Caenorhabditis elegans: one gene and its partners. The protein of the gene in region 1 interacts with the protein of each later gene in a pairwise test. Each region holds a gene or a part of one and is shown on either strand. Other genes may lie near its edges.

What was found.
Region 2: the proteins of mei-2 (region 1) and ttr-54 interact in a two-hybrid assay, tested with the Caenorhabditis elegans proteins (one large-scale study listed by BioGRID).
Region 3: the proteins of mei-2 (region 1) and san-1 interact in a two-hybrid assay, tested with the Caenorhabditis elegans proteins (one large-scale study listed by BioGRID).
Region 4: the proteins of mei-2 (region 1) and apc-1 interact in a two-hybrid assay, tested with the Caenorhabditis elegans proteins (one large-scale study listed by BioGRID).

The regions. Positions count from the first base shown.
Region 1 is NC_003279.8:6,562,644-6,570,237, reverse strand, and holds mei-2 (Meiotic spindle formation protein 2), read left to right. Parts: upstream 1-4,385; 5' UTR 4,386-4,387; coding exon 4,388-4,500; intron 4,501-4,546; coding exon 4,547-4,833; intron 4,834-4,880; coding exon 4,881-5,033; intron 5,034-5,080; coding exon 5,081-5,370; 3' UTR 5,371-5,489; downstream 5,490-7,594. Other genes in the region: ipgm-1 (2,3-bisphosphoglycerate-independent phosphoglycerate mutase), read right to left, coding at 14-151, 578-629; syp-6 (Thyroid receptor-interacting protein 11), read right to left, coding at 1,472-1,531, 1,579-1,658, 1,704-2,006, 2,050-2,412, 2,562-2,706, 2,751-3,236, 3,280-3,668, 3,716-3,841 and 2 more; bag-1 (BAG family molecular chaperone regulator 1), read left to right, coding at 5,789-5,948, 5,993-6,336, 6,399-6,527; tmed-3 (GOLD domain-containing protein), read right to left, coding at 6,703-6,882, 7,048-7,338, 7,391-7,531. UniProt on the Caenorhabditis elegans protein: Forms a heterodimeric complex in conjunction with mei-1 which severs microtubules in vitro in an ATP-dependent manner. This activity may promote rapid reorganization of cellular microtubule arrays. May act to target mei-1 within the cell.
Region 2 is NC_003282.8:10,151,249-10,158,799, forward strand, and holds ttr-54 (Transthyretin-like family protein), read left to right. Parts: upstream 1-4,526; 5' UTR 4,527-4,956; coding exon 4,957-5,112; intron 5,113-5,172; coding exon 5,173-5,339; intron 5,340-5,394; coding exon 5,395-5,488; 3' UTR 5,489-5,523; downstream 5,524-7,551. Other genes in the region: copg-1 (Coatomer subunit gamma), read left to right, coding at 786-810, 1,090-1,825, 1,870-1,983, 2,030-3,164, 3,215-3,484, 3,535-3,863, 4,136-4,184; ttr-53 (Transthyretin-like family protein), read left to right, coding at 6,815-6,940, 7,020-7,187, 7,334-7,486.
Region 3 is NC_003279.8:6,403,819-6,411,925, reverse strand, and holds san-1 (BUB1 N-terminal domain-containing protein), read right to left. Parts: upstream 4,401-8,107; 5' UTR 4,393-4,400; coding exon 4,264-4,392; intron 4,219-4,263; coding exon 4,022-4,218; intron 3,980-4,021; coding exon 3,851-3,979; intron 3,798-3,850; coding exon 3,565-3,797; intron 3,519-3,564; coding exon 3,376-3,518; intron 3,301-3,375; coding exon 3,157-3,300; intron 3,115-3,156; coding exon 3,001-3,114; intron 2,959-3,000; coding exon 2,875-2,958; 3' UTR 2,714-2,874; downstream 1-2,713. Other genes in the region: ZC328.3 (VASt domain-containing protein), read left to right, coding at 298-372, 1,159-1,892, 2,072-2,395, 2,440-2,533; ZC328.5 (Apple domain-containing protein), read left to right, coding at 4,990-5,049, 5,186-5,497, 5,841-6,044; Protein cuti-1, read right to left, coding at 6,318-6,420, 6,672-6,856, 6,936-7,087, 7,165-7,333.
Region 4 is NC_003280.10:11,103,829-11,112,583, forward strand, and holds the start of apc-1 (Anaphase-promoting complex subunit 1), read left to right. Parts: upstream 1-4,332; 5' UTR 4,333-4,395; coding exon 4,396-4,449; intron 4,450-4,502; coding exon 4,503-4,832; intron 4,833-4,876; coding exon 4,877-5,306; intron 5,307-5,591; coding exon 5,592-5,738; intron 5,739-5,742; exon of another isoform or gene 5,743-5,784; coding exon of another isoform or gene 5,785-5,989; intron 5,990-6,043; coding exon of another isoform or gene 6,044-6,194; intron 6,195-6,474; coding exon of another isoform or gene 6,475-6,560; intron 6,561-6,606; coding exon of another isoform or gene 6,607-6,771; intron 6,772-6,821; coding exon of another isoform or gene 6,822-6,929; intron 6,930-6,976; coding exon of another isoform or gene 6,977-7,189; intron 7,190-7,234; coding exon of another isoform or gene 7,235-7,341; exon of another isoform or gene 7,342-7,379; intron 7,380-7,402; exon of another isoform or gene 7,403-7,525; intron 7,526-8,755. Other genes in the region: C09H10.9 (YqaJ domain-containing protein), read left to right, coding at 690-779, 837-1,088, 1,143-1,357, 1,403-1,539, 1,589-1,698, 1,743-1,881, 1,930-2,057, 2,102-2,134; nasp-1 (Protein NASP homolog 1), read left to right, coding at 2,808-2,920, 2,972-3,338, 3,388-3,963, 4,022-4,114; glb-4 (GLOBIN domain-containing protein), read right to left, coding at 5,785-5,989, 6,044-6,194, 6,475-6,560, 6,607-6,771, 6,822-6,929, 6,977-7,189, 7,235-7,341. UniProt on the Caenorhabditis elegans protein: Probable component of the anaphase promoting complex/cyclosome (APC/C), a cell cycle-regulated E3 ubiquitin ligase that controls progression through mitosis and the G1 phase of the cell cycle.

The DNA of each region.
Region 1 (7,594 bases):
AATAAAATCTTACCCGAACACAGCTTGTCCATAACTGGTGTCTGTGCGTTGAGAATAGCGTTACCGTAAGGATCTTCAGAAACTCCCCATCCATCAATAACGATGAGACAGACCTTATTGGCCACCGAACTGTTATTTGCCATCGCCATTCCTGAAAAATATCGGAATATGATGCAAATTGAAAAATTTTTGAGTTTAAAGGCGAAAACTATTAGCTGTTATAGGGGGATTGTGATTTCTCGCACAAAATATAAAAAGAATAAAAATACTAGATGATGCTTGTGAAGGAATTTCTTTCAAATATATTCGGAGCAAAACTTTTAAATGTAACCTCCATTAAAATTAAAACATTAGCAATCAATTAATATAAAAATAGGTATTAGAAAGAAAAAAGGACAATTAAAAAAAAGGCAAAACAAAATGACGAGATTATGAAAAATGGAATTAAATCAAAACTGTTGATTCGTTATCAAATAAGAAGTTTGATCATCGATCAATTTTGTTTCGAGAAATTTAAAATATAACCAGTGAGAAAAAAATTAAAAAAGAGAACAACAAGAATCCAAAAACCGCTCACCGCGTCGTCCGAAATATTGCCGATAAATTTGAGCGCCCAGGGCTACGAACATCTCTATTTCTCTCCGTCTCTTCTGTCAAGCACTATTTCATTGACTTATTGAAATGTTGAAAGAAATGAGAATAAAATTGAGAAACGTTTTCTGTGTGAGATTTTTGCACGTAAACAACTCTTCTATCACGTATCTCTAACATTTCTCTCATTTCTCAAGAAATTCTCAATTTCTCGTGCTCTCTTCTTGAAGGATTTTCTAGATGTTTGGAGCCGCGCTAAACTATTGATTCGAAACTGAACAAGAAAAAAAACAGAATTGACCCAAAATAGAAGTGTTTGAAAGCGGAGACGCAGAGAGCTGCACGAAAAATGATGCAAAAGTGAAGTATTGAAATTGAAAAGTTTTAGCGAGCGAAATCAAAAAAGTGTATCTTTATTGAGTTTAGTGTCCAAATAAAACCCTTTTTCTCGCACCGCCCGTCTTTTTCAGCGAGACAACGACCACAGACAAATGAAAACTATTGAAACAAGTAAATACATACAAACTTTTGTAATTTCTCAAGTACTCTTCTTTTCTAACATGCATGTTGACATGTAAAATTCTTCTTTTCTAACATGCATGTTAACATGTAAAATAAATTTTATAACAGTTATTTTTCCTGAAATTCGACGGTTTAATAAATATTTACAGGACTTAAACATTTAAATTGATTTTTAAAGATAAATTTAATTAGCATTTTGACAGTGACAGCAATAATATTGAAATATTAAAGAACAATGATTTATAACTTATAACAGATCACAAACAATAGGAACATGATGGAATAGTACAAGATTACGCGAAAATTCCGTATAAGAGGAACACAAAAAAGTATGAATTAAATTAGAATGTAGAAAGTTTTAGTCGTCACCATCCCAAATCGTTTGATCTAGACCGCCATCATCTGGAGCAACCAAATCCTGAAAACAATAAATGTTTCATGAATATTCCATTAAGAGACACAAACCTCATCATCCATGGATTCGTTTTCCTCAGATCCTTGTGAGAAGCCAGCTTCACTTTCAGCTACGTAGCTGTTGCCAGAGCCTGAAAATAGTTGCAAATTGTCAAGCTTATTCAGAATTCAAGAACCACTTTTATCATCTGCAACTGATTCCTCTTTTTTGCCAGATATTTTTGAAGAACTCTTCTTAATTTGCTCTGCAGCTCTTTTTGCTTTTTGTCTGTTATCGAATTCTGCCACATGCGCAGTCATGGAAAACTCAACGTCGTTAAGTTTTTCGTCGGTGCCTGTTGGATTGAAGAAATCATTGAGCATAGATTCATCCTGAGTGGTTCCAGATAGGATCGACTCTTCCGATGTTGCCGATATACTTGCAGCCGGATCGTGGCGTTTAGATGAAACACTCGCCGGGCGGTTAACTTCAGAGGGACCTGAAGTAATCAGAATTTTTCGTACTGTAAAAATTATTATTACGGCCGTAATTATGGGAAATGTGTTCCATTTCGCTTTCTCGGCGAACATTATCAGGCAATTTATCCATGTTTTTCTTGGCCTGCATTGTATCATACTTCTCCATATGAGCAATCATTGAAAACTGTGGACGCATTGAAGTTTGTTCTTTGCTAACCGGAGAATTAAAGAATGCATTCAATCCAGACTCATCCTGTGTTGTGCCTGTATCGTCATCGAATGTTGAATCTTCAGAAGTAGCAGATTCATTTAGCTCCGATGTAATCTTCCGAATAACTTCAGTGGGCGTTGCAGCGTCTTTGTTGATAAGTTTTATCCCTGGATAATGCACACCAATCGGTCCAATAGATCGTGTTGAATCTAAAACTATAAATAATTATAAATTTATTTCTTCTTTGACACAAAGTCTATTAAAAAAACTTTGCAAACTTCTTTGAAAGCGTCGTATTTTGTTATTCAAAAAAGTAAACATGTGGTTGTAATCAAATTGGTATAAAAACAATTAAACATCTTACCTGAAGTGAACGACGACTGCGACGTGGTTCTTTGGTTCCACTTCTTAAAACGCAATGATTTCTCCACATTTCGAACATTGTCACGCTGGAATGACTCTGGTCCGGGAAGTTCAGTGCTAGATGCCACGAGACGCCGAAAAGCCTCCTGAAACAAGACTTGTAATATACTGAATTTGAATGAATAAATACTTCTTTCTTTGATTCCACATTCTCTGGGGTGTCAGATCGTTCCACAGCACGGACAGTCACTTTCAATTTATTTAATGTGATTTTGCTTTCAGCAATTTGTCGCTTGACGTCCTCGATAGCAGATTTCTTCCGAGTCAGAACCTCTTTTTTAACGATATATGCGTTTTCCAATTGGTTTATTTGATCAAAACTCTTACGGACTTTCTTGTTCTGATATTTAATATCTTCCAACGACGCCTCGAGATTTATTATACTTTCTGAGTTTTCAGCTTCAGACTTTTCAAGAGTTTGCAGTTCATCGGAGAGCTCGCATACCTCATTGCAATCAGGAAACTTTTCGATAGATGTAAGATTAATTTTGTTAAGATCACTGAGGTCAGAGCACAACTCATTAAGAGATTCTAGTTGCTGGGTCATCATAGCTGATTCTTGGCTGATCACATCCTGTTTCAATGCGTCTTCATATATTTGCCTGGCTTCGTTTATCTAAATTATAAATTTTACATCCTTTTTTATGAAACAGAAATACCTCCTCTTCCAGTTTCGCTTTATAAACATTTTCACTCGTAGAAGAGTCTTTGACTGAAGAAAGCTTCTCCAGAGACAATTGAATAATATTTGACTCGAGATTTGTATTTACTTGAATCTCTTCTTTTAGCTTCATAATTTCTTTTTCAGTTTGAAATATAAGTTTGCCTGTTGAAGATTGACGCTTTTCCACATCGACTTTTTCATTTTCCAGGTGCTGAACAGCACTCGAAACTTCATCAATGGAAAAAACCATAGTTTCGTGTTTTTTTGCAGATTTTTCAATACACGCTTCATATGGAAGTGTGATCGAAAGCACTGACATTTCCATCGGAAGAGAGTGATTGCCCTTGGAACAGAAAAAATCCATTTTATCAATCGTGGAGTTAACTGAAACACGAAAACTAAAATATTAAAAGTTAAAAGGAAAATGATACCTTGATCAGTAGACTGTGCCAAAAATGAATGAAGTTTCTTCTGGTGATTTTTCACATCTTTATCGCTGACTGACATTTCTTCTGCGGCTGTTGCCGAATGTTTGACTTGTGAACAACACGAATCGACTGAAAAAATGTAATTCGTTTGCAACCAAGAACGAAAATCGCCTACGGAGTGCATGGTTTCTTGATAGGTCTCTACACTGTCTTTGAAAGCTCGAAAACTTTTTTTCGAGTAGGTTATTGCTGAAATTAAATTAATATAAACTGTTTCTTTTTTTGGTGACTTACTTTCTGATGATCGACTTGACTTTCGCTTCATTTTCCAACAAACCAAGTACTGGAGCCATTTACTATAAGAACTAAATTAAATATTAAATATATCGTTTCAAGAATTCATTGGAATGAGGCAAAAGTAAATACTTAGGATTAAAAAATCCAGCTTTATATTAAAAACTTTAAAGGCGCATATGAGATGTTATTCGGGTCCCGCAGCGCTCATGCGGGGTACGATAGTACTTCAAAGAATTACGCGGGAATTTCTTTTATGCGGGAAAACGGTTTTTTCTTGTTTACTAGTTCCTTTCTTTCGTCTAATTTTGATATCTTGTGTTTTTTTCCAATTATAAAATGTTTGTCTCTTCTTAAATTTGAAATTTTGAAATTTTTCAGATGTCAGGGCTTGACGACCGGAAAAAACTAACACATGCAAAAAATAGGAAGCCTCTCAACGACATTCCGAAATCCGCTGAAAACAGACCAAATACAAGATCTACTTCGAGTCGGTGAGTTCTACGAAAAAAGTATCTGAAGCGATTATATTTTTTTCAGACGCGGTGCGGAAAAGGACGTTCCCATCACTTTCATCGGGAGTTCTCGAACTGTGAAAGCCGATCTGCCCGAGTTCACAAATACTCGCTCAAGACGTCCATTGCATTCCGAGTCGAAGAAGGAATTGTCTCGGAACCCGGTTTCGAGAGGTGAAGAACATAGCAGTTCTTTGCCAAAATCCTCCCCAGAATCATCCGTGTCAGTCATGTCATCAAACGCGTCGTTGTGGTCCGCATGCACCGAGGAAGTGAATAAAATCGGTGTTTGTGCGAAGCGAGAGAGCAGAAGTAGGATTTGCAGAGTTTTGATTTTTCAGTTTATGTTTTCTTTTCAGATCTTCGTGTTTATAAGATGAAGAGTTTCACAAGTAACATGGAACAGATATTGTCAAACGACAACCAACTCGCTCCCACAGTCATTAGAATTCTGAATAGTAGAAACTCTTGGTGTCTCAACTCGTGCCATGCTTGTTTAACATTTATCATGGGTTGGTTTTGCTTCCTGATAAATTTATTCTAATGTTTTGTAATTCAGAAAATATCACGAGCGACAATTATGGGAAGCGATCGGCTTGCTTGAAGGCTCTTGCATCAATTACCAACAGTTTACTGGACACAATCATCGGATTTGCATCCACCAAAACTCGGCGAATTGGAGTCGATGTGGTAGCTGAAGAGCGAGCTGCAAAAGCAACAGAGTGCATTCACAATTTTCGCAAAATAGTTAAAAATCGGGACAAAATCTACAAACAGATTGACCAGGAGACAATTTACAAACTCGATGCCATTCTCGAGCGATTGAAAAAAGTTTCCAGCCATAAGTAATTTTCTTGTAAATAATTGCATACTTATTATTCAACCGATGGTTATCACCCAACTCACTGTTTATTTTATTGCTCATACATTGTGTTTCTTACATGTCCAATATAAAAACTATCATGTGCTCTCGTATTGTGACTTAAAAACAAAAATGGGCTAATTTAATGTCCCTCACAGTATCGTACGAAAACGGTGATTCATTGTCTATGGAATCGTTTTTCTCTGAAGTCTCTGAGCGAGTGCGCCCCATTGCAATCGATGTGTACACCTCGTGGAGGAACTGATTTTCGCATAAGCTTCTCGTCATTTCTAGAAGTTTCTTAATTTTCTAATAAGTTAACAATAATTTTGTTCCAATTTCTTATTTATCGACACTCGGAGGCTTCTCCCACTGCTAAAACTGTCTCAAAATCAATTTTCAGAAATGAAGGTGAATGTGTCGTGTTCATCCGTTCAAACTACAATCGACATTCTTGAGGAAAATCAAGGAGAAGACGAATCTATTTTGACACTTGGGCAGCTACGCGATCGAATCGCCACCGACAATGATGTTGATGTTGAAACCATGAAGTTGTTGCACAGAGGTTGTTTCTGATTTTTTGGAATAATGAGACAAAGTATTTTACAGGAAAGTTTCTTCAAGGCGCCGACGATGTCTCCCTTTCTACTTTAAATTTTAAAGAAAATGATAAAATCATTGTGATGGGTGGAAAAAATGCTTTGGTTGATGACGCGGGCTTCAAAATGCTCATGCAATATGAGAAGCATAATTTGAGCAATCTTCAAAAAGCCTATGATCTCAATTTGAGAGATGTCGCTGATTTGGAACGTGGTTTTCTCGAAAAACCAAAGCAGGTCGAGATGGGGAAAAAGCTGGAAAAGAAAGTGAAATATTTCAACGAAGAGGCGGAAAGACATCTGGAAACTCTTGATGGGATGAATATTATCACTGAAACTACTCCCGAAAATCAGGTGTGTCATAATTTTATTTTGTACTTTGAATAAGTTTTCGATTCAGTTCAATCAACTTTCAGGCTAAGCGAAACCGTGAAAAACGCAAGACGCTCGTAAACGGAATCCAAACTCTTCTTAATCAAAATGACGCACTTCTTCGGAGACTCCAGGAATATCAGTCAGTTCTCAACGGAGACATTCCTGAATAATTCTCAATTGCATAAAATTGCTTCGGGTTTTTATGTTATGAAACTCAGTTATAAATCAATAAATTATATTCTTATGCTATGTATCAAAGGGAGGAAAAGGGGCAAAACAACTGACGGGACCCATTAAAATGAGAAGGCTGCTAATTACAAAAAAAAGAGCAATGGTGTGAAAAAATTAATAACGAGTTCTTTTATCATTGAAAAATGATTTGAGCAGGAAAACTTGGCCAATTCCAATGAATACTACGACGGCAGATTGACCAAGGGACCAGATCATCACGCGCTCGTTGAGTTCTTCTGCACGTTTGCGACCAGTTGCTTCACGGAGACGATGATGAGTTTGATAGTCATCAATCTACAAAAAAGTTTATAAGTATGTCAAATGTCGGGTGAACAACTTTTTTAGTAAGCTCCCAGCAAAATAGAGTTGGAAAAATGAACGAATTCATAAAATTCGAAAAAGTTACGTTTTGAGCATTTTCTAATTGTAAAAATAAATCTTTTTAAATAAAAATCTTACTGTTCTCAATTTATCTCCAATAGCGACTGCATAATTTTCTAATTGAGTCATTGCATGAGCTCCTTGAGTAACGGCAGCATGAAGAGCATTTTGATCACCGAATTGCCAATCCATGTAAACGATTTTATGAGAGAATGTGGAGAATTCATTTGAAAAGCATGCTTTGTATGTTCCTTCAACTTCGGCCTTGAAGTTGATACTGTCGTACTGCTTTTTAGTATCTTTATACAAAACTTTTCCATTTGGATCCTCAATGATCAAGTCTACGTCATAATGGCCTCCAGTAACAACCTGAAATTATCAAATTATTACAGTTTCTACGATTTTCAATTGAAATACTAACTTGGAATTCAAACACTGTGTCAACATCCTTTTTCAGATCTTCATAAAAACACTGATTTGCGTTGTCTGGAAGTTCGAATGTCAATTCGATTGACAGACCTAGGGCCACAAGAATTGATGAAACTATGACAAATTTGAGCATGATCTTGGCTGAAAAGTTGAAATATTTTTACAAATTTATTCGAATTGGATAAGAAGCAATACA
Region 2 (7,551 bases), on another chromosome or scaffold:
CAAATGCAACCAAATTGCAGAATTTGAATTGTTGTGAAAAAAACTGGGCAGACTTCAAGAAAAATAAAAAAGCTTCTTTGTTCTCACATCAAGTCTCCAGGGAGCCCTGATTCTACTCTGATAAATGGTGGCGTAAAACTGCTCGAAACATGGTCCCAGTCATTGGGAATGCAAGAAAGCTTCTAAATTATTCACAAGTTCTGTGAATTTGAAATACATTTGCACTTTGCAGTGAATAATTTTGAAAATACCAAGTTTTGGGGATACTTAATAAATATAAAGTACACAAAAGAAACAGTTAAACTTATGAAATCACATGCCCGGCCGTGGCCGCATTCATTTAATAAATGGAGGGAAATTCAATGAGAAATACGGTGGACAACGAGTGTTTACGGACTGAACAACACATTTGACGACAAGTTGCAGACAGACACGTTGCAGCGATAGAAGAAAAGTCTGGTTTTCAATTTTACGTATTTTCCCTAATATTTTATTTATATTATTAGCTGAAAAATGTTTTATAAATAAGGGTTCAAATTTTTGAGGTGATTAATCACGCAGTAAATGTTTCAAATGTTAAATTTACATTGTAAACCTCGCGACCAACTGTGTATGTATGACTTTCCAAATAACTTCGCAACTGTTCGTCCGTCAATATAATATCACTTTAAATCTTCCAAATAACAGTTATTCGATTCAGATTGACTCACTTTGAACTAATCTCCATCATTTATGCACAGTTGAAAATTTTCAGAAGCTGAAAGTTTGAAAAATAACACGTAAAAATGAGTGCCCCAAAAACTAAAGGAGGTAATTTTGAGACGTCGTGATTGTGATTTATTATTTTGTAATTTCTTTGTGCTTGTAGTCGCTCCTTGATTGTGCATGACTTTTCTCTCGCTTCTCAATAGAACACGTTGGTTTTTCTCATTATTCGATTAATCAGTAGCAAAACAGTGTATCCTCGAAAAATCATAAATGTTGGGTTCCTAATTTTTGCCATCAGAATTCGAAGTCGGCCGAATGATTTTGAGTTACTCCGTTATACATTCTTCGCGCCACAAAAAATGTAATGGTTTTATTTTCCAGGTCAATCTTCAAGAATGAAGACCAACAAGAAGGATGAGGAAACCGGGGGAAACGTCTATGCTCACCTCGATAAGACCTCCGTTCTTCAGGAAGCTCGCGCCTTCAACGAGACACCGATCAACGCGAGGAAATGTTGTTTCATCTTGTCGAAGTTGATTTACATCATTCAACAAGGAGAATCAATCGGAAGAACAGAAGCAACTGAGGCCTTTTTTGGTGTCACAAAGCTTTGGCAGAGCAAGGATGTCAGTCTACGCCGCATGGTTTATCTCGCTGTGAAGGAATTGGCTGAAGTTTCTGATGATGTCATTATTGTCACTTCAAGTCTTACAAAGGATATGACTGGAAGAGAAGATCTCTACAGAGCAGCTGCGATACGTGCTCTTTGCAAGATTACCGACACTGGAATGTTGCAAACTATTGAAAGATACATGAAACAGGCTATCGTTGATCGAAACAGTGCGATTTCTTCATCGGCTATCGTCTCTTCCATTCATTTGATGCGTAAGTCTTCCGAGGTAGTTCGTCGTTGGGCTAATGAAGTACAAGAAGCTGTTTCATCGGACAACCACATGGTTCAATACCACGCTCTGGCCCTTCTCTATCAAATCCGTGCCAACGATCGTCTCGCTGTGAACAAACTCGTCCAGAAGTTCAGCAAAAATGCTCTTCGTAGTCCATATGCTGTGTGCTATTTGATCCGCATTGCCACTAGATGTCTTGTCGATGACGATCAGTAAGGGTTTTAATTGAACGTATGGTTCGATAATCAATTAAAAGTTGCAGGCCAGATTCTTCTGTTTTCACATTCATTGAATCGTGTCTTCGTCACAAGAGCGAGATGGTAGTCTATGAAGCAGCTAGAGCCATTGTTTCACTTCCACAAACCACTCCGTAAGCATTGTATAATTTCTGAGTAAATTTATATTTCATTTTGCAGATCGGAGATTCAGCCAGCAATCACTGCTCTGCAAATGTGCTGCACTTCTCCAAAAGCAGCAGTTCGCTTTGCCGCAGTTCGAACTCTCAACAAAGTCGCAATGGCTCACCCGAACGCAGTTATGAGCTGCAATGTGGATCTTGAGAAGTTCATAACGGACCCGAACAGATCTATTGCAACTCTTGCCATCACCACCCTCCTCAAGACTGGAGCCGAGTCTAGTGTTGAAAGACTCATGCAACAAATCGCTGGCTTCGTAAACGAGATCTCGGATGAGTTCAAAATTGTTGTGGTCGATGCTATTCGCTCACTGTGCTCACGTTATCCTCGAAAGCATACTGTTATGATGCCTTTCCTTGCTAAGATGTTGCGTAGTGACGGAAGTTACGATTACAAGAAAGCAATTGTGGAAACTATTATTGCAATCATCGAAGAGAATCCAGATGCTAAAGTTGCTGGATTGGCTCACCTTTGCGAATTCATTGAAGACTGTGAGCACGATAATCTTTCTACTCGTGTTCTTCATCTCCTCGGGAGAGAAGCTCCAAAAACTCCAAACCCATCAAGCTACATTCGATTCATCTACAACCGCGTAATTTTGGAGAGCACCAAAGTTCGGGCCGCTGCAGTTACAGCTCTCGCCAAATTTGGAGCACAGTGCGTTGATTTGCGTCCATCGATTCAAGTTCTTCTGAAACGCTGCCTTTTGGATTCTGATGACGAAGTTCGTGATCGTGCCACCTTCTACCTCAAAATGCTTACTGAAGCAGCCGAAGGCCTCATTCACAACTTTATTCTTGACGGACTTCAAGTTTCGCCATCTGGTCTCGAGCGCTCAATTCTTGACTATCTCCGATCCGGATCTTACTCTTCTCCATTTGATCTTCGAGTTGTTCCTGTTACTCAACAAGCTCTTTCTCAACCTGAAAAACGTGTTCCTCAACTTGTGGAAGAAGAAGAGAAACCGAAAGCTCCTAAAGTTGAGCCATATGCTGCACAGCTGGCTGCTATTCCACAGTTTGCTGCTCTTGGTCCAGTCTTCAAGTCATCTACCAGAATTGCTCTCACGGAATCAATTGCTGAATACACTGTTCATATGATCAAGCATACATTTGCCAATGCCATGGTTCTGCAGGTATTTAAAAATAGTGAACTTTTGAAATCAATTATCGAATTTATTTTCAGTTTGAATGCAAAAATACAATGAATGACCAGCTTCTTCTTGATGTTTCTGTTGAATTGGAAGATCCAGATGGAGAATGGGAAACTGGAAATACTGTTCAAATTGATAAACTTCCCTATGGAGAAGTTCATTCAGCCTTTTCACTTCTAGAATTCCCTGATTCTGGAGCCATCTCTGGAAGTTTAGGTGCTATTCTCAAGTTCAAGGTGATGGATGTAGATCCAACTTCCGGGGAACCTGATTCGGATGACACATACGAGCAAACATATGTGGTACGCTGTAGAATTCTTAATACATTTTTATAATTCTAAATTATTTTCAGCTGGAAGAAGTTGATGTTAATGTGTCGGATTCGGTTCAAGGAGTCGCAAAATCTTCATTTGGATCTGCTTGGGAAGCGTTGGGAGACGATGCAACAAGAGAAGAAACATTCCAATTGTCAACAGTGGAAAATATTCCTGATGCTGTCAAGAAAATATCTGAAATTTTGGGACTTGTTCCTTGTGAACGGTCCGATCGTGTTCCTGAAGGAAAGACGCAACACACAGTGTTCCTTTCCGGAGTTTTTCGTGGTGGATATGATGTTCTTTCGAAAGCCACGGTCGCGGTGGATCCAAACGACAATTCAATTGCCATGAATATTATTATCAAGTACGTTTTTTTCAAACATTTTTTGATATTGTATCCCAATTAGGTCAATCATATATTTGCTCCAAAATAAAATCTAGTACATATTTACATAATATTTATTAAACTTTTTAATTGATTTTAAGTGGAATCAGACAGTAATAATTGTTTGCAAAATTTTTCGAATTATGAAATAGCATTAAAATTGAAATTTAAAATTAAGCATTTTTAATGGTTTTGAGTCATTTCCTGATCTCTACTAATAGTAAGCACAATTTGAAATTCTAAAATTACAGATCGAATGAACCACTCGTCGCAGATTTGGTTATCTCCGCAGTTGTCTAAAATTATTCGGGAATGTCCTGCGCCGCTGTTTTTCTGATTTTAAATGTCACCGCATGTTTTTTTTTCTAATTTATTGACCGGCGTTCGACAATTGTGATGTATGTGTGTTTTAATTGGTATTTTTGCTTCTTATTTATTGTGCGTTTTCGTGTTTATAGCTATTGCTTCCAAAAAAATTGAAAAAATAAAATGGGAAGTCTCATTATACCTTCCTCGAGTTTACTGGTTACACAATAGAACACATGTTATAATTAATTTTTCCGGATCCTAACTAAAATGGGTTGGTAAGTTAAAGTTTCCAAAACAAGCTTGTTCGGCATCTTAATAGTTAGAGCAAAAAAAAGGATTGATCGATTCACCGAGCAGCTGTTCTCTTTTTTTTTGTGAAGAGCCGGATGATCACCAGGTCTCTTGAAATCTCGTGATATTTCGCTTCCGATTGAAAGTTTCGCAGTTTGTCGCCTCGAAAAATGAAAATATGTGACTCTAAAGCTATTTTTTAAAGTTTTTGTTACCGTAACATTAACAGTTATTATCGATTTCTGGTTTAACGTTGTCGTGAAATTGTGCACATTGGCCACACACTGTGAAGGTGCTAAGAAAAATGACCACTAGGTAACCCAAGAGCAATGTAAACAATTCTCGTTGTCTGTACTGACTCACTTCTTTGAGAAATCGTTTCTTTTCTTCACTTTTGTATTTTTTTAATCGAACCTTTCCGCAACCAAATCTTAAATCTTGAGATTTATTAAAGTTGACTCAAAAATTGAAAATGCGAGCACCTGTGACATTTCTAATCTTGTGCTCACTGGCTCTTCTCTGTTCATCAGCTAACAACTGTGCCTGGTTTGTCGGTCAATTACAATGTACGGACACTTCGAAATTGGAAAATGTGGTTGTAGAAATTTGGGACAAGGATCGATCTTTTGTAAGTTTTTTTATTTTTGAAATGTCGTTAATGTTGAACTGAAAAAAAATTAAATTACAGTTTCCAATTACTTTATTCGTTGATGATGATTTGGCTGGAAGAACTATTACTTCTGCAGATGACAATGGAACATTCAAAGTGGAAGGATGTGCTTCTGACCTCGATTTTCTTTTTATCAAAAATGAACCAGAATTTTATTTGAAAATTCGACACTACTGCAAAGGAAAGTGAGTTACAAAGCACTTGCTTCATAATAAATATTTAAATTTTTAATTATTTCAGGGCAGAAGTGACGCTTGTACACCCGAAAAATCCGAAGGTGTTCGTTCCACAAACTAACGATTATTTCACAAAACATCCTATTATTTTGGGATAGATGTTTAAGAGTTCAATAAATGTATTTTATATTTGAATTTTCTACACACAAATGTTGTTTAATTGGTCTTCCAATCCATAACTTATTTTATCAAACTAAACTTGGCAAAAAAGTTGAAATTGAACATGTCATATCATCAATTAAAATGTAGCTATGACCTTCCCCAAAATTCTACATTGGAATCATCAGAAACTAGTCAGTTTGATCGCTTTTCAATGATTAATTCTCCAACCTCCCTCAAGGTTTTTCTATTCAATCGATTCTTCACGATATGGGTGTCCTCTTTCTTTTTGGTGGATTTTCCTGTTCTTATCATCCATTTGTTTCCGAGAAACATGGAAAAAGGACACAATATTTTTCACTGGCTAATAGAAATAGTATAGTTTTATTTTTATAGCTGTGAATTAAGAATAAAAATGAAAATAAAATCAAAAATCTTCTCGCAGAAGGCACCGTACACTAACAATTTGGGCGCAAGTCCAAAAGCGTCGCTGCGGTCTCGTAGCGATGTGTAAATATTTTTCCTCAGTAGCTATGCGCCTTTGAATATTGGTACTGTCACAACTATAGTGTTTCCTCAATTTTGTTTTTTATTTCTCGAGATTTCTCTTCTAATTTAAGAAATCTTAACTAGTTTGAATTATTTTTTAGTGTTTAAATGATATTTAGTTGTCCAATTCTTTAGTTAAAATTCCGTGCGTTTTAACCTCACTTTTCCATCGTTTCAGTTTCAGACACGAGAAACTGGTTCAAGAAATACTTCAAACTTTCTTTTTCTCTTCATTCTTGAAAATTTTACTTTTTCTTGTTTGTTTTGGCAATTCAATCTGTTTCGATCCAACCACAAATGTTTGACGTCATCCGGCAGTTGTGAATAGCTTGATTTTCATTTTGCGGCAGCTTCACCGTATTCTTTGTGTCAATCAAGAATTTTTATAAATGAGTAGTTGGAGGTGTCAATCATTAGGCCTCAGACAATCAAAACTCCATTTTTCAATATATTTAATTTTCAATGCAGTTTGTTTCTAACGTTTCCAACTTTAATCCCACAAAAAATGACGTGCGAATGATTCATAATAATCTGAAATTTAGTTTAGTTTATCCAACTCCTTGTTTATGGTGAAATTGGTGAATAAAAAATAAAAGTGGCACATGTTTTTAATTGAAAAATAAATTGAACATTCAAAATCCTATTATAATCCGTTATTCTCCCTTTTGATGAAACATCGATCTGTTCTGAAATGAAATCATTCAAAATATTTCGTTTCTGAATCCATTCTGTCCAACTTTCCTTTTTTCAGATTTAACATAAAATAACCACTAACAATGCTCAAATCGCTTATAATTATCTGCGTTTCCATTCTTCCCATATCTCTTGCTGGTAGAGAATGTGTCTGGGTTCTAGGAAAAGTCGAATGTCAAAATGATCCGACCAAGAATCTGAATGTTGAGGTTAGATTTTTATCAGTTTCTCCTGAAATTGATAGTGAATTCATTTTTGCAGAAATATTTCAACAAAACACTATTTCAGATTCGTGTCTGGGATCGTGATGGTCCAGGACCACTTCAAATGATAGACCCAGATGATTTGATGGGTGTCACATTTTCCAATGATGACGGACGTTTCCAATTGGACGGATGTGGAGATGATTTCGATTGGATTCCGGGAGTTAAGAATGTTCCAGAACCATATATTGAAGTTAGTTTTTTAATCATCAGTTCGATATCAAAAATGTTGTTTTCCAAGTTTCATTGAATTTTTGAAACATTACGAGCCTATGAAATTCAAAATCTTTAAGAAAACTGTTATAATTTTTCTGTAATCTACTAAAAGATAATTTTCAGATTCGTCATTACTGTAACAGTGAAAAAGGAGACATCTTCCAACTTCCAGAATTCAGTACTTTTGTTCCAAATACCTATGATATCGGAACCATCGTTCTTGACAAGGAGACTCGTGGAATTAAAACGACACAGAAAGCTGATCCAACTCAATAATTTATTCTTTTCCATTTTAATCTTTTTTATCCCATTTGCCATTCATCGCGTTATTCATTCCAAAA
Region 3 (8,107 bases), 160 kb from region 1:
ACAAATGTTTTGATTTACAGTCAAAAAGTGGAAATTTTCTCACCTATCATTTTGATCAACCTGCTTTGTTTTTTAATTAAGTTTTAATTATGTGCTTTAATTTGTAAGGAGTTCAATCCTGTAGCGACTCTATTTTTGAGAAGTTTGAAAAAAAGACGCCTAGCATTAATCGGCAGAAACTAAACTTTCAAATTTATCCTAATTTAATCGTAGAATTCATTAATCAATATTCGTCCATTTCAAACTTCCCCTTCACTATTTTAAATTTATGATTTTCTTAAAAATTTGAATTTCCAGAACTCACAAAACCAAACGCCACCCGACGGAAGTACACCGGCATCTACAAAAAATACATCTACAGAAAACATGACAGTTAGTTCTTTTTCTTTTTGAATTAAAATCAATCAATATTACTGATCTTTTTCCAATATTTATCTTTCTCAAAATTGTGTCATTTCGATTTGCAAGAAAGAGGGCGAAACGTGAAGAGCAAATAGTGAGAAAATCAAGAAAAAGTGGTATTGAGTGATGATTTGTTACGAAATTGTTGAAATTGAGATGAACGGAGAAGTATGTCAAAGAAAGACTATTTATTTGATTAAAATATTATTTATGTTGCAGTTGATATATAATTAATGAATCATAAAAGTTATGGGGCATAGAAAAAGTGATTTCTTACTGTACCATTTGAAAAATAATCTATTTAGGAAATCAATTTGCAAAAGTGACAAAATATCTAATTAAAATGATTCAAGAATTTTATGTTTTTTTTTCTAAAATGTAGAATTGAAAAGTGGTAATTAGGAAATTTAGAAGACCAAAAACGTTTATTGGTTTTTTTATTGTATATATTTAAATTAGTTGTGTTCTTTTTTTTAAAGTAAAGCATGGATTCAAAATTATATTGAAATTTGGCGTTTTCTGCCTACTAATCCACATTTAATCAAGAAGAATCAAGGAGACATTTTGATTTCTAGAAAATACGCTACAATCCAAAAAATTGACTTAATGCAACTGATTTATATTTTGAAAATTTCGTTTCGCCAATATTCTATCTCTCAAGCATGATCCTTGATTTTAAAAAAATCAAGGTAGAATATCAAATATGACAACTATGTTTATCTTTCAAAATAAATTTGAAATTGAATTGCATTACAGAACCTCAGCTCCCGATCCTTCAACAGTTCCATTTCTCCACGCACCGAAGCTTCTACTTTGAAAAATAACAACGACAAAGACAACACGTCCCAAAGTTCCACGTCATCCGACTTCCATGATGAAGATTCAGCTACTCATTTCTCTGAACAGTTTGAGCAAGAAGATGAAATAATTGAAGAAGTTCCATGTCCTTGTTCTGAACATTTTGGACGTCTTATTATGGATAAGGAATTCAAAGTTTCTGTTGAGAAGTTCTATGAATTGTTATTCACGGATAATGAGTTCCTAACTATGTTGAATCAAAAAACAAAGACTGCTGAGTATGTAGCTGCAACATGGGTTCGTGATCATCAAGGAGACAACACGCGTACTTGCACATATACAGTATCCCTAGCTCATGCAATGGCTCCAAAAGCAATTATTGTGAATGAGAAACAAATTCTAACACATTATCCAAATCCAAAACAAGGAATAATGATGCAAAAAGAGACACAGAACTCTGGAGTACCATATTCTGATAATTTCACTGTCAATTGTCGATACTGCATATCAAGAACTGGTCCAACATCGTGTAGAATAAAGGTACACGGAGGTGTTATGTACAAGAAGAGTACATGGGCAGTGGTGAAGACATTCATTGAGAAAGGGACTCATCAGGGTCTTGATGAACATTATCAATTGTTGAGTAAGCTTGTTGATGAGTATGCAGCCAATCATCCAGACGAGGATCTCAGGTTAATATTTTTTATTTCATTTATAGGGCTCAGGAATACATCTAGTATGATTGCATTTCAAGTTCAAAAAGAAAAATTGTTAGAATAGCAGTCAAACTTCAACATAATTTAATAGATTTTCTAAAGTTGACTTCGGAAAGTCAATGAGTTAATAAATTTACTTTTTTTTTAATTTTCAGAGCCCCAATGTCGATTACATTCCCAAATGGAAGAGATGTCATAAAATCATGCGAATCAGAGTCCACACCCAATGAGGTCCGCCACCGTCGTTCACAGAAGTCTCCAGAACGTCTTCTGGCTGGTGGCGAAATCGCGAAAATTGTCGATGATTCGCAGTTTCTCCCTGAATCACAAATCATTCAACCTATTGCAACTACCAATAAACTGACTGCAGTTGATTACAAACCGTTCTTGATTGCTATCATTGCTCTTCTGACGTTATTCTTCATTGCAAACATCTGGATTCTGCATGGATTTCACAGAGAATCTTTGCCTGTTTCAAGGTAAACTTTCGTATTAGATAATTTCTGAATTTAATTTCCTACAGAAATGACCAGGATCTTGCTGAGATGTTGTCGACATTAATGGATCAAGTGAAACAGCTCAAAGAAAAAGTGGATCAAATTAAAAAATCTGAATAGACGTTCAAGTTCAGCTGCCAATTGTTTTGTAAATAAGAAACTCCCGTGTATCATTCTCAAGCATTCCATGTCTTCCATGTGGCCCGTTTTTCACTTCACCGATCCGTAAAGCTTTAAATTTAAATTATGGCTACAACTTTTCCGGTTTCCTCTTTTCCCTTTTGTTAATTCAATGTATTTAGTTACAGTTTCCCTTTTATGTGATCAAGATTGATTGAAGAAAATGAAATAAAATAATGCAAGTGTGATCAAAATCATAATACAAATTTAGAATTGATTTGCTAGTGATTTCTCCTCCGTTTTCTCATGTACTTTTTCCGTGAAAATAAATGATTTGAAATTTACAATGTCTCATCGAAATCCAACTTTTTTGCAGTTGCACGCACCATCGAAGGGTGATTCGGCAGAAGAGACGCGGCATATTCCTTCAAAATGTTTTTTTTAAATTATTTTATTTTCAAAATTACCTCAAACGACAAATCCTTGAAAACACGCTTAATAGCCATTCTAGCCTTTGCTTTTGTCGGTCCAGATCCTTCAACAGTCCAAACTTCGAACTCTGAACTGGAAACTGGATAAATCTGAAACAATTATTTATTGAACAAAACTATTCAATATCTTACAGTAACAGCTGCAGCTTCAGAAGTAGATGATCCCGTGATACTCGGATTAGTTGTTTCCTTGATGGCATATCTTTCGATGTGAGCATGAAGCTCATGAACGTTTCTCAAATATTCCACGTCATCCGCATCAGTGTAGGAGAGAACCTGAACGATATTAATTTTTAAAATAATATTTATATAAAACTGCAGAATTTCTCACTTAGCTAGAAAAAACCATACCTCAAATGGTTGCATTTGATTATCCTTACAAACTGGGTTAACCCTTTCCACGTTTCCCGTATCAAACTTCATCGCTTTCTTCGTTGTATCTGAGCACATCGATGGCAAACGAACAATCGGAACTGTATGATTATCACCAATCACTGAAAATTTAGTCACAATTGAATTTTCAAATGACTCAAAAAATACCTGGTAAATTAGTGAATGCTTTTCTCGTTTCTTCCTCTTCCTCATCATCATCAGAGTCTCTTTCCTGTAGATGTCTTCGCATTTCTCTCATTTCTAGAGCATCTTCGGCATCATTGACGATTTGTATTGGAACTGCGCAATTAGTTCGAGCAAGAATCAGAACACGTCTGGCTTCTACGTATGCACCAGCTAGTTCCACAGATTGAGACCAACGAGCGTAGAGAGCAGCGCACCTGAAAATTGTTTCAATTTATAAAATTCCTAAACGAAAAATATCAGAACTCACTTTACTAAAGATTTTCTGCTAATAGCAAACTGATAAATATCATGTGCATGACCAGCGCTATTATCTGCCATTTTCTCCCAAATTTTAAGCATTCTCTCGTCCTCTTTGTATTTCTCCAGGAATCCATGTCTAAAATATATTTTATTGTTTTTTTCAGTTTTGTAAACTAGCCTGCTGATTATTTTCCAGAGAAGTTCGTAATATACTTTGTGAAAACCAATTGCAAGTTTCTCTTCAAACCACGAACAGAAATCTAGAATTTTCTGAAGTTCTTCGCTTTCTTCTGAACATTCCAGGTTTTGAAGTTCTTCGAGAAGTTGATCAAGCTTTAAGCGTGCAGTTTCTTCGGTAACAACTTCTTCAACATTCTGAAATTTAGATAAAATTTTTTTCTAGGAAAATACCATACTTACTCTTTTCAGTGCGTCAATCTTTCTTCCCCTTCTTGTTGGGCGGACATTTTCCGAATATCGATCCCAATCATCTTCTGCGTCATCATTGTTTCGTTTTTTAAGAGTGAAAACGTACGGTTCTTCTGCCATTGCTAAAATAATATGTATAAACTGGCAACAACGACTGACAATCAATTTTTAAAAGTTAAAACAAAAACAAAAAATCTTCAAAATTTCATTTAAAATCGCCGCTGTTTCGCGCATTGCCTCTAGAGCGCGTTTGCACAGAGACCATACAACGTTGAGGAATTTGGGTTTTGAGGATGCGCTATTTGAGAATGCAAAAAATTCAACTCAAGAAATAGAAATAAAATGAGCGATAATTAGCTGAAAACCAAAATATTGACTAAAACGTTGTAGCTTTCTCCACGCCAAATTCCAAGACAGCAAAAATTTGCGTCTTGACTAGAAATTTAAACTTGGAACTTATTTTCTAGATCTTAAATAGTGAGTGATCTATATTGCTTCTTAAAAGTTCGGTTATTGCAGTAACAATTAAGCAATGAAGTTCTTTTAAACTGTCTCAAAACTCTTGACATTACTGTATTCTTTGTTCGTTCCTATTTTCACTTCCCTATTTGAAAACTATGACGACTGACTTATTGAAGTTCTCATGTTTTATGAGTATCATAACTTGTGAGACTATTTTAGAACATAAAATGAAACATTATTCTGAACCTGAACGAGATGAGGTTTCAAATCTTTACTTTCTTGGCTCTACTAGCAGCGGCGATAAACATTGGCGAGGTAGGCATTTAAAACTGATTGGTTTGGTTTTACAGTAGTATTCAACAAAATTAATATGCATTTCAAAACTTGAATTTTTGTCATTTTTTAAATTCTATTACCGCTATAAATATTTCCAATAAATTTGTTTTTGAAGGGCGCAAAGCCATGTCGAGCCAAACGTCCGACCACTGAACCACCATCAACAACTACAGTGGAGAGTTCAACAACTCGTGATTCAAAAGCACCTTGTATGGCAGTATTTGAGAATATGAAAGAAGAAGAAGATGGTTTTGAAGATTATGCAATGGGAGTTACAACTGCAGCATCAGTACCAGAATGTAGTAAAACTTGTGAAACTGATGTGAAATGTGCATACAGTTTCTTTAAAACTAACAAGTGTTACGCTTTCGAGAGATTTAGACCAACTGATTTTGTGAAGAATGGAGGGATGCCACTTATTTTCAAGGTGAATACGGGATTAAACTCTGTGACGACAGCCACTAAACGACACGTATGTAGGTAGTAAACATGCCTGGGATAGGCATGATGCAGGCAGGAGGTACATAGGTATACGCTACGCTAGCATATAGGAGGTAGGTAGGCATGACGAAAGAACGTAAGCAGAAACGAGCTGAGAATCAAGCAAGGCACCTAGGTAGACGTAACGTAGGGAGTTAGACAGGTCTTCCTGTTTTGAAAAATTTTAAAACAGGACCGCAAATGTTCGGAAACAGGTAAAGCCGGCCTTCTGAAGCACTGATGCTGAGCTATAGCATATACATATCTTAAAATTAAAAATTATTTTTCAGCTATATCTCAACGGGACGGTCACATGTGACACTGCTACAATTGATGAATTGGCAAATACGAAGGAGAAAATGTACTATCCAGATGGTGGATCTTATTGGCTTTTCAAAAGTATTTTCGATAATTATTCTCTCAGTGTTAAAGATCCAGCCATGGGATATAAGAGAAGAAAGAGAAGTATTCTTTCGTGGTTACTCAATTTCTAATAAAGTTTTGTGTCGCGTTCAAAATGTTGAGAATTGGTAGTTTTTAAATTTTTAACTCGTGAATTACAGGATTTTTGTTGGGCAATAATAACAATTGAATGTTTTTAATGCTCAAATGAGCACAGAAACGTAACAAAACACATTGAACATACGAACGGACAAATAAAATTTAAAGTAAATTTCGAACCGTTTATCAGTAAAACTTTGATGGTAGAGAAATTATAATGAAAATAATTTAAGAAATTCGATTAAAAACAATGTACAATCAGAAATCTATCTGGTTTTGGATGACTCTCTGAGTTCGACGTTCTGCTTGTCTGCGAAGTAAGCTTTATCGTAGAGATAATCAGCAGCTCCTTGAATGATGATTCTTGTCCTGTAAAGTAAACAGTTTATACAGACAGATTTAAATCAATGGTTTTTAAATGTTATCTTCTGAAAGAAAGTTTTGAAACTTGAAACTCATTTTCAACATTTGTTTTATTGGGAGTTTCAAAATCTATTAGAGAAAAGTTCGCATTCTTAGAAAACTATAGAAACCATGGAAGTTCATGTTTTAGGTTCATAACATAGAATTATAAATTAATTAAAGTTAATCTATTAAAATCCAGGCATTTTAATTCTCACCAAATAGCAATTGCAGCAGTGAAGAAAGAAACAACAGCAATGTTGAATGGCCAAATTGGTCCGTAATCTTGTTCAATTCGATGAACTTTTCCAAATATTCCAAAGACTTGTCTTGTGAATTGAATTCCAAAGGCCATGCAAACAATAGAAATGACCGCCCAGATCAGGAGGAAACAGATTATAAACTGAAATTTAATAAGGAATTAAAAGTTTATAGAATAATTAAAGTAGCCGGAAACTTTTCGGAATGAAGGGAAGACTTACTTCAATAAATTTCAATTTTGATCCTAGCATCTGTGGATTTTCTTTCCAAAGTCCAAATGCCATTAGAGCACTTGTTAAAAGAGAAAGTACCGTAATACCAGCTTGAATATAAAACAACCATTTTCCAATTGAATCCGATTTGTGGCTCATTACTGAAAATTGTTTTCTTAAAACTTTAATTTCTAAGTTTTGTGAAATACAACTATTTCTGAACTTCCAATCAACTAACCGTAAAAACAAATAGCTCCAGTTCCCATAACAAGGAATTCAATAAATGCAGAAATGTACGAGGCAGTTGTATAATGCATTGAATTACACGTGGCAGGGGCATAGTAGAATTTGTCATGTGGAGAGTATACAAAGTTTGGAGGCAATGGAGCCACCCGGTCGTTTGGCATGATTTACTGTAAATGTTATAGAAATCAAATTTCAAAAAAAAGAAATATGTGGAACGCTTCGTCAGAATAAGGGCTTGAAACATTTATTCTAATCTTTGAGTGGAAATGTTTAACTCAGAAAAATTCCCATTGGGTTTAAGTGTTCCAAACTGATTGTGAGATGATTATAAAATGTTTAAATTGACCTTAAATGTACCTAATGAAAAGCGGAGAAGTTACCGTATTTTTTCTACATATTAATATGGCAGGCAATACAAGATTTTTACAAATTTGAGCTTGAAGTTACTGGTTTGTAATTACAAAAGATCACATGTTATATAGAAATCAATAAAAAACATTATAATTTGGTTTTCTTGTGAAATAGAAAGCACTTATCAAAACTTGGATGAAAATCTCATTAATATTTTCGACTTATTGAGCTGGCTTTCGCAAGTGTGTTGAACTTAAAAATTCACTAATCAGTAGAAAAACATTAAAAAAAATTGAATACCACTTCAAAAAAATCGATAAGGAAATATATGGATCAAAGTGAAAGACGAATGGTGTGTCTGTTGCCCGAAACGCATTCTCGTTCCTTTCCTTTTCCCAATTGTCCGTGTTGCCCTAGATATCCAGAGAAGAGATGTTCCGATTGTATTGAGATTAAGTGGAGGATCGAGAGAAATAAGAAAATGACCCGCTTGTGTGAGAGGGATTGTATCCGATTTGTGAATTGCGGAGAATGAATGAAGTACAAGGGTATTTATGGCGTCATCGCATATCATAAATGAAATA
Region 4 (8,755 bases), on another chromosome or scaffold:
ACAAAAAGAGATCTGAATGGGGTGAGAGCAACGAGAAAGACTGTCAAATCTCCAATTAGGGGCTGAAAACGAAAACAAAATTCTGAGTCGGGGCGGGCAGACGTGATATTATGTTGTTGAATTCTATAGGGAAGGAATCTACGTTACTAGGTCTCGAAGCGACCGGAAATTTTATAGAAAAGCTACGAAAAAGGGGTTGCGCCTTTAAAAAGTATTCCATTCAAGTCTCACTTTTTTGTTTCAGAAAATTATTCGATCTGCGAATTGTGGAAGGATATTCGTAGCAACTACAGTACTCCTTAAAGGCGCACACGCTTCATGCCTGCTCTACAATAAACATTTTCTATCGTGTCGAGACCGGCTACCGTATTCTTTTGTAGGAATTGAAACAATTTCGCATCTTGGCATCTGCAAAGGACTGGAAAAAATGTTTTAAAAACCAAAAATTTGCAGAAAATAGGTCATTATTTAATTACGTCAAAACGCGTTGTTCTGAAACTGAAAAAAATTAATCTGGAAAATTAAAAAGCTGACGTGACCTTAGATTTGAAAAGAAAATGATATGCATAAAACGTGGGACCTGTGGAAAACACGATGACGAACGAACCTTTGAAATCAAAGAAAAAACACATTATTTCGAGTTAGTCTAACAATTTCCTGTACGATTTTACAATTTTCCCGACGAGCAAATGCCTCGGAAGCGTTCTAGATCCGAAAACTACGAGGATCACATTGCGATTCATCATACGCTTCAACCAGTGACGTTCATTGAGGAAGAGGTAATTTGAAATTCTATGAGACTTTTTTTTTTTAAATCTCAATCTCATAATTTTCAGTTAATTCTGGTGTGGCGATTCCCAGTGGACATATCCCAATCTTCTATCGGTGGACGGACAACTTTATCAAATGCCTGTACCCTCATTGCTCTGAAAATTGCCGAGCTCGTCCATATTCATGACATCAAAATGCCAATACCGTATCCAACTCGAAATGATCGTGTGGCGGCCGGTGCTGAGAGGACGCAGCGGAAACATTATATTCGTAGCTCTGCAGATGAGACGGTTGTGGATAACAATGGTTTTGAAACTGTAAGACTTTTTAGATTAAGCTTAATTATTGGATTATAAATTTCTTAATTTCAGACTTGCCCACCGCGACTTATTGGTTGTCTGATTAATGGGATTGTGGATGGAAATGACACTTATTCAAAGCACGCTGGTGACGAATCTACGAGAAATTACAACTTGCCAGATGCAATCAAAGCATGTGATCTTAGTTTTTCGGAAGTTGATTTCAAACTAACTACTGGATCAATCAAAGAATCTCTACCAAAACTAATCAAGATGGCTGTTCGGCAGTAGGTTCAAAATTTCAAATTCTATAAATTTCCGGCATTTTTCAGTCCATTATTTCAATCGGAAAGTCGCCTTGTCTTCATCATGATGAGCTGTGTTCGAACAGTTTCGATTATTTTCGATAGAAATCAGGACACGCTAACTCTATTCGACGCACACCAGCATTACTGGCCAGATAATAAAAGTAATATTTTATAGTTAAGCTTAATAGACCAATTAAATATAATTTTCAGAAACTTATAAGCACGGCGCTCTCATTGGTACTTGTAGCTACAGTAACTTGCACTCATTTGCAAAATGGATAGAAAATTTTGTGTATCCGGATGTCGCCGACCATGTTAATGTGAGGATCTACATTTTTTTTCACCTGTCATTACAAAATTTCAGGCATTTGAAATTTCGCTGATAAGAATTACGGAAGCCGGCACTAACAAAGCTCAAGGTGTATGTAAATATCCGGATAATAAATTCACAACGATCCGAACGCCAGTTTTCCAGGCTATGAATTTGCAGGAGGACAAAGAAAGTAAGTTTGATAGTGATTAAACGAAATTCAACAAAAACTAGATTGCAGATCTGAAATTGTCGGACCATCCAGTTCTCCTCGGCATTCTCTCCAAACCCCCAATCGTAAAATGTGGAGTAAAACGACGACACGACTCAGAAAATGGGGAAAACGAATTTACAATAAAATTAAAGAAGGTATTGAAACACAGCAGTTAAACATAATTTTAATTTCTTTTCAGAAATCGCCTAAAACGACTTCTGAGCGGACTTAATTACAACTTGGAAGATTCTCAACAATGTGCCATCGAGTTTTATGTGATATACAGTTTTTCTCTAGTATTTAGAATAAAAGTTTTTAATAAATTCATTTTGTTAAAGAACTAGAAGGAAAATAGGCAAAAGAAAATGCAAAAACAAAAAAGAAAAAATAAAGAAAACTCCAATTGCTCGTCATATGTGATGCGTTACAGTAATATCTGTGCGGCACGCAGACGCAACATTGCACAGCGCGGGAAAATTTGTTGTTGACAATTTAAGTTTATACTCCCAAAAAATTGTTTTTTCTCTTTTCAAATGAAAGTTTTGCTGAAGTATTGTGTTTATTTTTGTTTAATTAAAAGTTTTTAAGCGGCGGCAGTGTTAATAAGTGATTCAAGCTGGAATTATCAACTGAAATCAACCAAAAAATCGGCCTGTCGGTCTGTTCTAGCGGTAGAATTCTAAAAACATCATGAATACAGTTTATATGTTTGTTTAAAAACATTTATTGATAAACCTTTTCGAAACGTACTAATTCCCGCCGTATGGCCGGTTTTTAGTGGACTAGGCAACGCTCGGTTTCTAGGCTCTCCCGCGCTATTATACTCATTTGAATTTATCCGCTTTTTATTGAATTTTGAATATATATCGAATAGTATTTATTTTCAGATATTAACAAATCAGAAAATGGACACTGAAAACATCGCCGACGCCTCTGATATTCGTGTGAAGGATGCTTCAGGAGATTCAGATGAAAAAGGAAACGGGACTACTACAGAAGAAGAGACTGTCGAGCAGAAGTAAACTTTTGCTGCAGAATATCATCAATAAAATCACTTTTCGTATTCCAGAGAGAAGCGTCTCGCCGAGTTGCTTGCAGCTGGACGCCGTGCGTTGAAAGTTAACGATATCGACAAAGCATCGGATTCGTTGAGTGAGGCTACTGAACTGAGCTCCGAAATTTATGGAGAAAACCATGAAAACACGTTCGATTCTCTTTACTATTATGGCATGGCCACACTGGAATTGGCGAAGGAGGAGAGCCAACTTCTGAAAGGTCCAGGTGAGAAGGAAAGCGGAGATGAGGAGCAAGCTGGAAATTCTGATGACAAGACTGACGAAGAGAATGGAGAAACGGAGAAGGAGGACGGAGAGGAATCCGGTGAAGAAGAGGACGATGATGATGATACCATGAAATTATCATGGGAAATTCTTGAGGTTTCTTATTTTATTCAATGATTTTATGCTTAATTGTGATTATTTTCAGACAGCTCGTTGTATTGCCGCTGCCAAAATCGAAGCTCTAGAAGCTGAGCAGAGTGGAATCAGTGCCATTGAGGAATGGAACCTGAAACTCGCTGATGTACTGGTTCTCCTCGGCGAGCACGGAATATCAGATGGAAAGTATACTCAGGCTTTTGAGGACTTGGATCGTGCCCTCAACATTCAGCGCAATGTTCTTCCACCGTCGTCGAGAAAAATCGCCCAAACCTACATTCTCATCGGAAACGCGTGTGCTAGCGATGCGAATTACGATGAAACCGTTCAGTACTTCGGCAAAACCAAGGACGTACTCATCGCCAGGCAGACTGAGTTGAAGCATGAGCTGGAAAGAGGTGTTGATGATAAGGAAAAGAAGTCTGAATTTGAGAATGAGCTGAAGGAGCTTGAAGAGATGATGCCAGGCGTTGAAGAAATGATTGCTGATGCTGTGCACTCTGCAGCACAAGTTGAGGAAACTAAGAAGGCCATTAAAGCGCAATTCGAAGGATTCACACAAGTATTGGCAAAACTTCCACAAGAAGCCGGTGATCAGAAGGAAGCAAATGATATTTCTAGCTTGGTACGGTTTGAATTAACTTCCCGTAGACTTTTTAAATATTCAATTAACAAATTTCCAGGTTCGTCGTCCAGCAAAACGAGCAGTGGATGCTCCAACTGACAATCAAGCAGTGAAGAAAGAAAAGGAGGAGGAAGGAACAACTTCGATCTGAATATTGATAACCTGTAATTCTAAATATTTCATCATGATCTGACCTACTGAACTACTGATAATGTATCAATTAACATTTTATCTGTTATCCGAATTTAAGGATTCTAAAGTAAAACTTGTTCTGTATATATATATTCGCCATATATTCGTTTTTATAATTTGTTTCAAATCTTTTTCATACTTCCAAAATAATTTTACTATTTAAAACAGGATTTTCAGCTTCATTCAAATTCGAATTATACTTGTATGAGTGAAGAATTTGATGATTGCCATTGGAAAAATATGATCTCTGCTAATAAACAGTTTGATATTCAGCTGGGAGATGAAATTGGAAAGGTAATTTTTTTTAGATAATTAACAATTTAAAAAAAGTAAACTTAAATTTTCAGGATTTCTTCACCCAGGATACAGTGGTCTGCGCGTTTCGAAACAAGGAGAAGACCACGGATTTTGTCTTCACATCGGGTCCAATTATTCTCATTTGTGATGGAACGACGCGACGGAAGATGATTAAACGACGGTTCAAAATGGAGTTTGATATCAAAAAAGTGTTCTTCCACTCGTTCATTGTGACTCGAAACGCTGAAAAGTTGGCAACTGAGAATTGTGGTGGACCTGATACGAAGCATCGGGATTATTTGGTTGTGTGCGGTGAGCATAAGCTCCAGTTCATATCGCTTCCCGACTATCATTTCTATCACTATGAAATTCCTTTTAAGGTGAGAATTTAGTTTGAAATTCTGATAATTTCAAATATTTCCAGCTTCGCAACGTGTTCTCCTGCTCGACAAGTCTTCTGGTCGAACGGTTCTACGATTCATCCAGCGAACAAACCTTCCACCATCACGACACATTTCACCTCTACTCGCTATCCGGTCCATTCGGCGAGCTTCTCCCGGTTATCTACAAGACAAGCGGCTACCATCCACAATGGAAATTCTGTTGGCAATCGCATCGAGACGAGGCTGGACTCGTTGACGCTCAGCAAAATTACGTTGTTGTCTATGATCAGAAGGAGAAGACGCATCGGATTTATATGGCACGAGAGACACAAGAACAGGAAGTTCACGCAGCGATTCGATACGTTGAAGCACTCAGAAGACCGTCTGATTCAACAATGTTCGCGTCGAGTTTGGCGCCGAATTCTGCCGGCAGAACTACGCATTTTGATCCGACACTCAACTCTCCCGCCGGTAATTTTTGAAAACTTGAGCTTTTGGATAAATATATTATTCGTATTGTATCAGACATTCAAATCGTCAATATTTAGTTAATTTACAGTGATTTAAGTTAAAAACCAAAAAAACCTCGTTTCGAACAGGAAATAATTCGATTTTCCCCAAAAACTACTAAAAAAATCAAATGTTAAATTAGAAAGAGTTGTGATTAAAAACTAAAAAATAAATATTTTCAATTATGATATAGTGTGGAAGTCCGAGTTAATTTATATTCAACAAAAAATCATAATTATTTTCCAGAAAATGTGCTCTCCGAAGTGATCAGCTCGGAAATTGATAGCCGCTCACCGTTCACTCCTCATCTGCGATCCGGTTTTGGACATTCTACTCCAAACAACCCGAACGCTCCAGGCTACCCTGCAACACTTCCAACACCGAATTTTGAAGGTAATTTTTTTTTTTAATTCATAAAAATTTATTAGCACCATTAACCTCAAGTCGTGGGCGATCGTGCACGATGATGATGATCAAAATTTAAAAGTGTTATGCTTCGCCGTTGCTGATGCGCTCGTCCTGGCACTCGATTCTGTTTGACTTGATCTTCGAGGGGGCTCAATTGAGACGTCAACTTGAGCAGTTGAATGTCGCAATTATTTAGAAGAATTGACGGGTTGTTGGGAGAAGACATACGGCGGTTTCTGAAAATACGTGAAGTGAGAATTATAGCTGATGTCCGTCAAATTGTTACATACCGTAGTGCTGTGAAGTCTTGGCTATTCCTTTGAAGAGCTCCACCCGCGCGGAACATACTTCTTCGTCGATATGGAGTAATTGGAGATGATGGCTGAGTTGTTGTAGTCGTCGAGTTGCTCTCTGTTGAGCCAAGAAGAGCACACATTGGAGCTAGATTTGAGTAAATTAGAATATGAATTTAGCCAACAGAAACCAACAACAAAAAAACTATAAAACGAAAAGCACACGGCACACAGCAAACCTAGAAGTTAGTGTATTTATTGTTATATATATATATATATATACGTGGTGAGAAGGAAAGTGTAGAAGCGAACAAAATCAACTGAAGAATATCGAGAAAACTATCTAAGTGATCTACGAGGTGGTGGTGGGCGGTGTTTAGATGATGGTGAGCTACGACACGAATGTGAATGATGAACTTGAGACGCACCGATTGCCGGCGACATGTTCGGTTCGAGAAAATGGGAGGCGGATCGGGAACGTGATGAACGCATCGATGCCATTGAGATTATCGAGCTGGAATGTTTAGATTTTTTTGTGGAAGATATGGAAGAGCACTTACTTTGTAATGCTTAACCGAAGAGGTGTCTTTTCACTTGCACATCCCTCATATCCTCGTTTCATTGATTCGATTAACATGCAGGAAAACTGTCTCCAAGACTCACAAACTTCTTCTTCTTCACTTTTCTCCGCTGCCCTAGACCTTATTCTCAATATTCGCCGAATTCTGAAAACCAGTTGATTTCCCACCCGTGATGTAAATTGTCAAAAAGTTACTTGCTATCCTCTGTGACAACCCGCATGTACATTTTGCTCATGGCGATCGGAAGTTGTTGGGCAAACGGAGCCCAAAAGCAGTTGTCATTTCCCTCATTCATATAATGTCTATAAACATTTTTGTGAGTGTTGTCCCACCCACGCATATGACTAACCGATGGCGTGCTCCGAGACGGAAGGAAAGCGTCTTGATCATTTCTGGATCACATTTGTGAACTTTGATGAGTATGTTGAGAAAGTCACGAACTTGATTGATGATGTTGAGAAATTGAGCATTTTCCTTATAGGTAGCGTGCATAGTCTCTGGTAGATCAACAAGAGCCCATACCCATGTGGGTGTTAACTCGGCGGATTTGAGCCAAGCCTCACTGAAAACAATTGCTTTTCAGGAACAGTCTGAAAAAAGAGCTCACCTAATGGCATCACTCAGAAGCTGTGGATCGTGCGAGTTTATTGTATTCCACGTATGTACTACATGTTTTCGATGTGTAGATAGTTGACGAGCAGACTGATTGCCCATTTTGTTGCATAGTCCGGAAGATCTCTGATACACTGAAAATGAGCTTCATCATTAAGTATCTCATCTATCCTAACTGAGCCAATCGTAAAAGAACAGAATGAATCAAAGAATGGATTTTCTCTTTTCTATCTGTTTATAGCAACGGAAGCTTCAAAGAGAGTAGAAAGAGCACACAGTTGTTTAGCATGCTCTTTTCGCGAAGGTGAATAATGAATAATTATGGGTATTCGAATATGTTATGATGAGCTCACGAGGACGTAACATTATTCAAAGAAATAGCTGAAGAAGTTGTTTTTCAGACATTCTCGTCGAAGATGCAATTTTCACAGAAAAAAATTGAGAAAGGAAGTGCGTCGATCTTCTCAAAGATGATTATATAAAGAGAAGAAGGTCACTCATGTGATAGGAGGTTCAAAACAATGAAAATGCAGAGCCGATTTCTTTTTAAAATCGAGTAAAACTTGGAGCGGCCGCCCGACTTAACTAATAGCGTCCGGAATATGATAAATGGGGCGGCGTCTTGGTGCTTCAGCATTGCAAGATGAGACCAGCAGCAGATGTAAAAACAAAATACGTCCTCGACTAAATAAGAAAAATGATTGACAACGACGTCCGATGTGTTCTGGCAGCTATAAGGAAGAAAAAAGACGTGGGAGGGGAAGGAGGAGTCGAATTGCACACGATATTCTGAATTTCGTTCTGAAATTCGTCTCGAATGTGAACAAAAGTTCTACGATGAGAAAATCAAATTAGATTCGGGGGTGTCACCGCGACTGAACTCTGATTGACGAGAGAGCCTATTGACTAGAGAAGGAGATCTGTGAATGTGAAATTTGAAATCGAAACAATTTGATTATCTTCTCTTCTACGTCAAAAAGGCGTCCGATAGGCGTGAGAAGCACTCATGAAAATTGGAGAGGGAGACCCCCTTTTTCAAAAAAACTGAATTAGACTTTTGAATGAAACGGATATCAGATGAAGCTTTGAAACTTTTCGTGGACTAACTCTATAGAGATCTACAACGAGATTATTAGAGCAACAAGGCCTGATCTTGAAAACGGAGCTCTAAAGGAGCTCCAAACTAGATCAACCTAGCTGCTGCTGCTGCAAGAAATAGAGTCACACTTCCGGGCTGGAAATAGCAAAACTGGAAGAGTCGAGCAATTTGTTGTGTGGCGCCTCATATTCCACGTAAGGCCTGTTGAACATTGCCGCCGCCGAGTGTGCACACCGACAAAAGAGACTTTGTGTTGCTGCACATGTGAAATTGTAGATATGTATAGCCCTGAGGGCGTAAATCACATTTGCATTCGGTGCTCTTTTCGTTGTCGTCGCATCGCCAAAAGAATCTCTCTTTTAGAAGAACAAGGCGTGTACAGGAAAGACACAGAGATTAGTGTGAGCCATTGAAAGA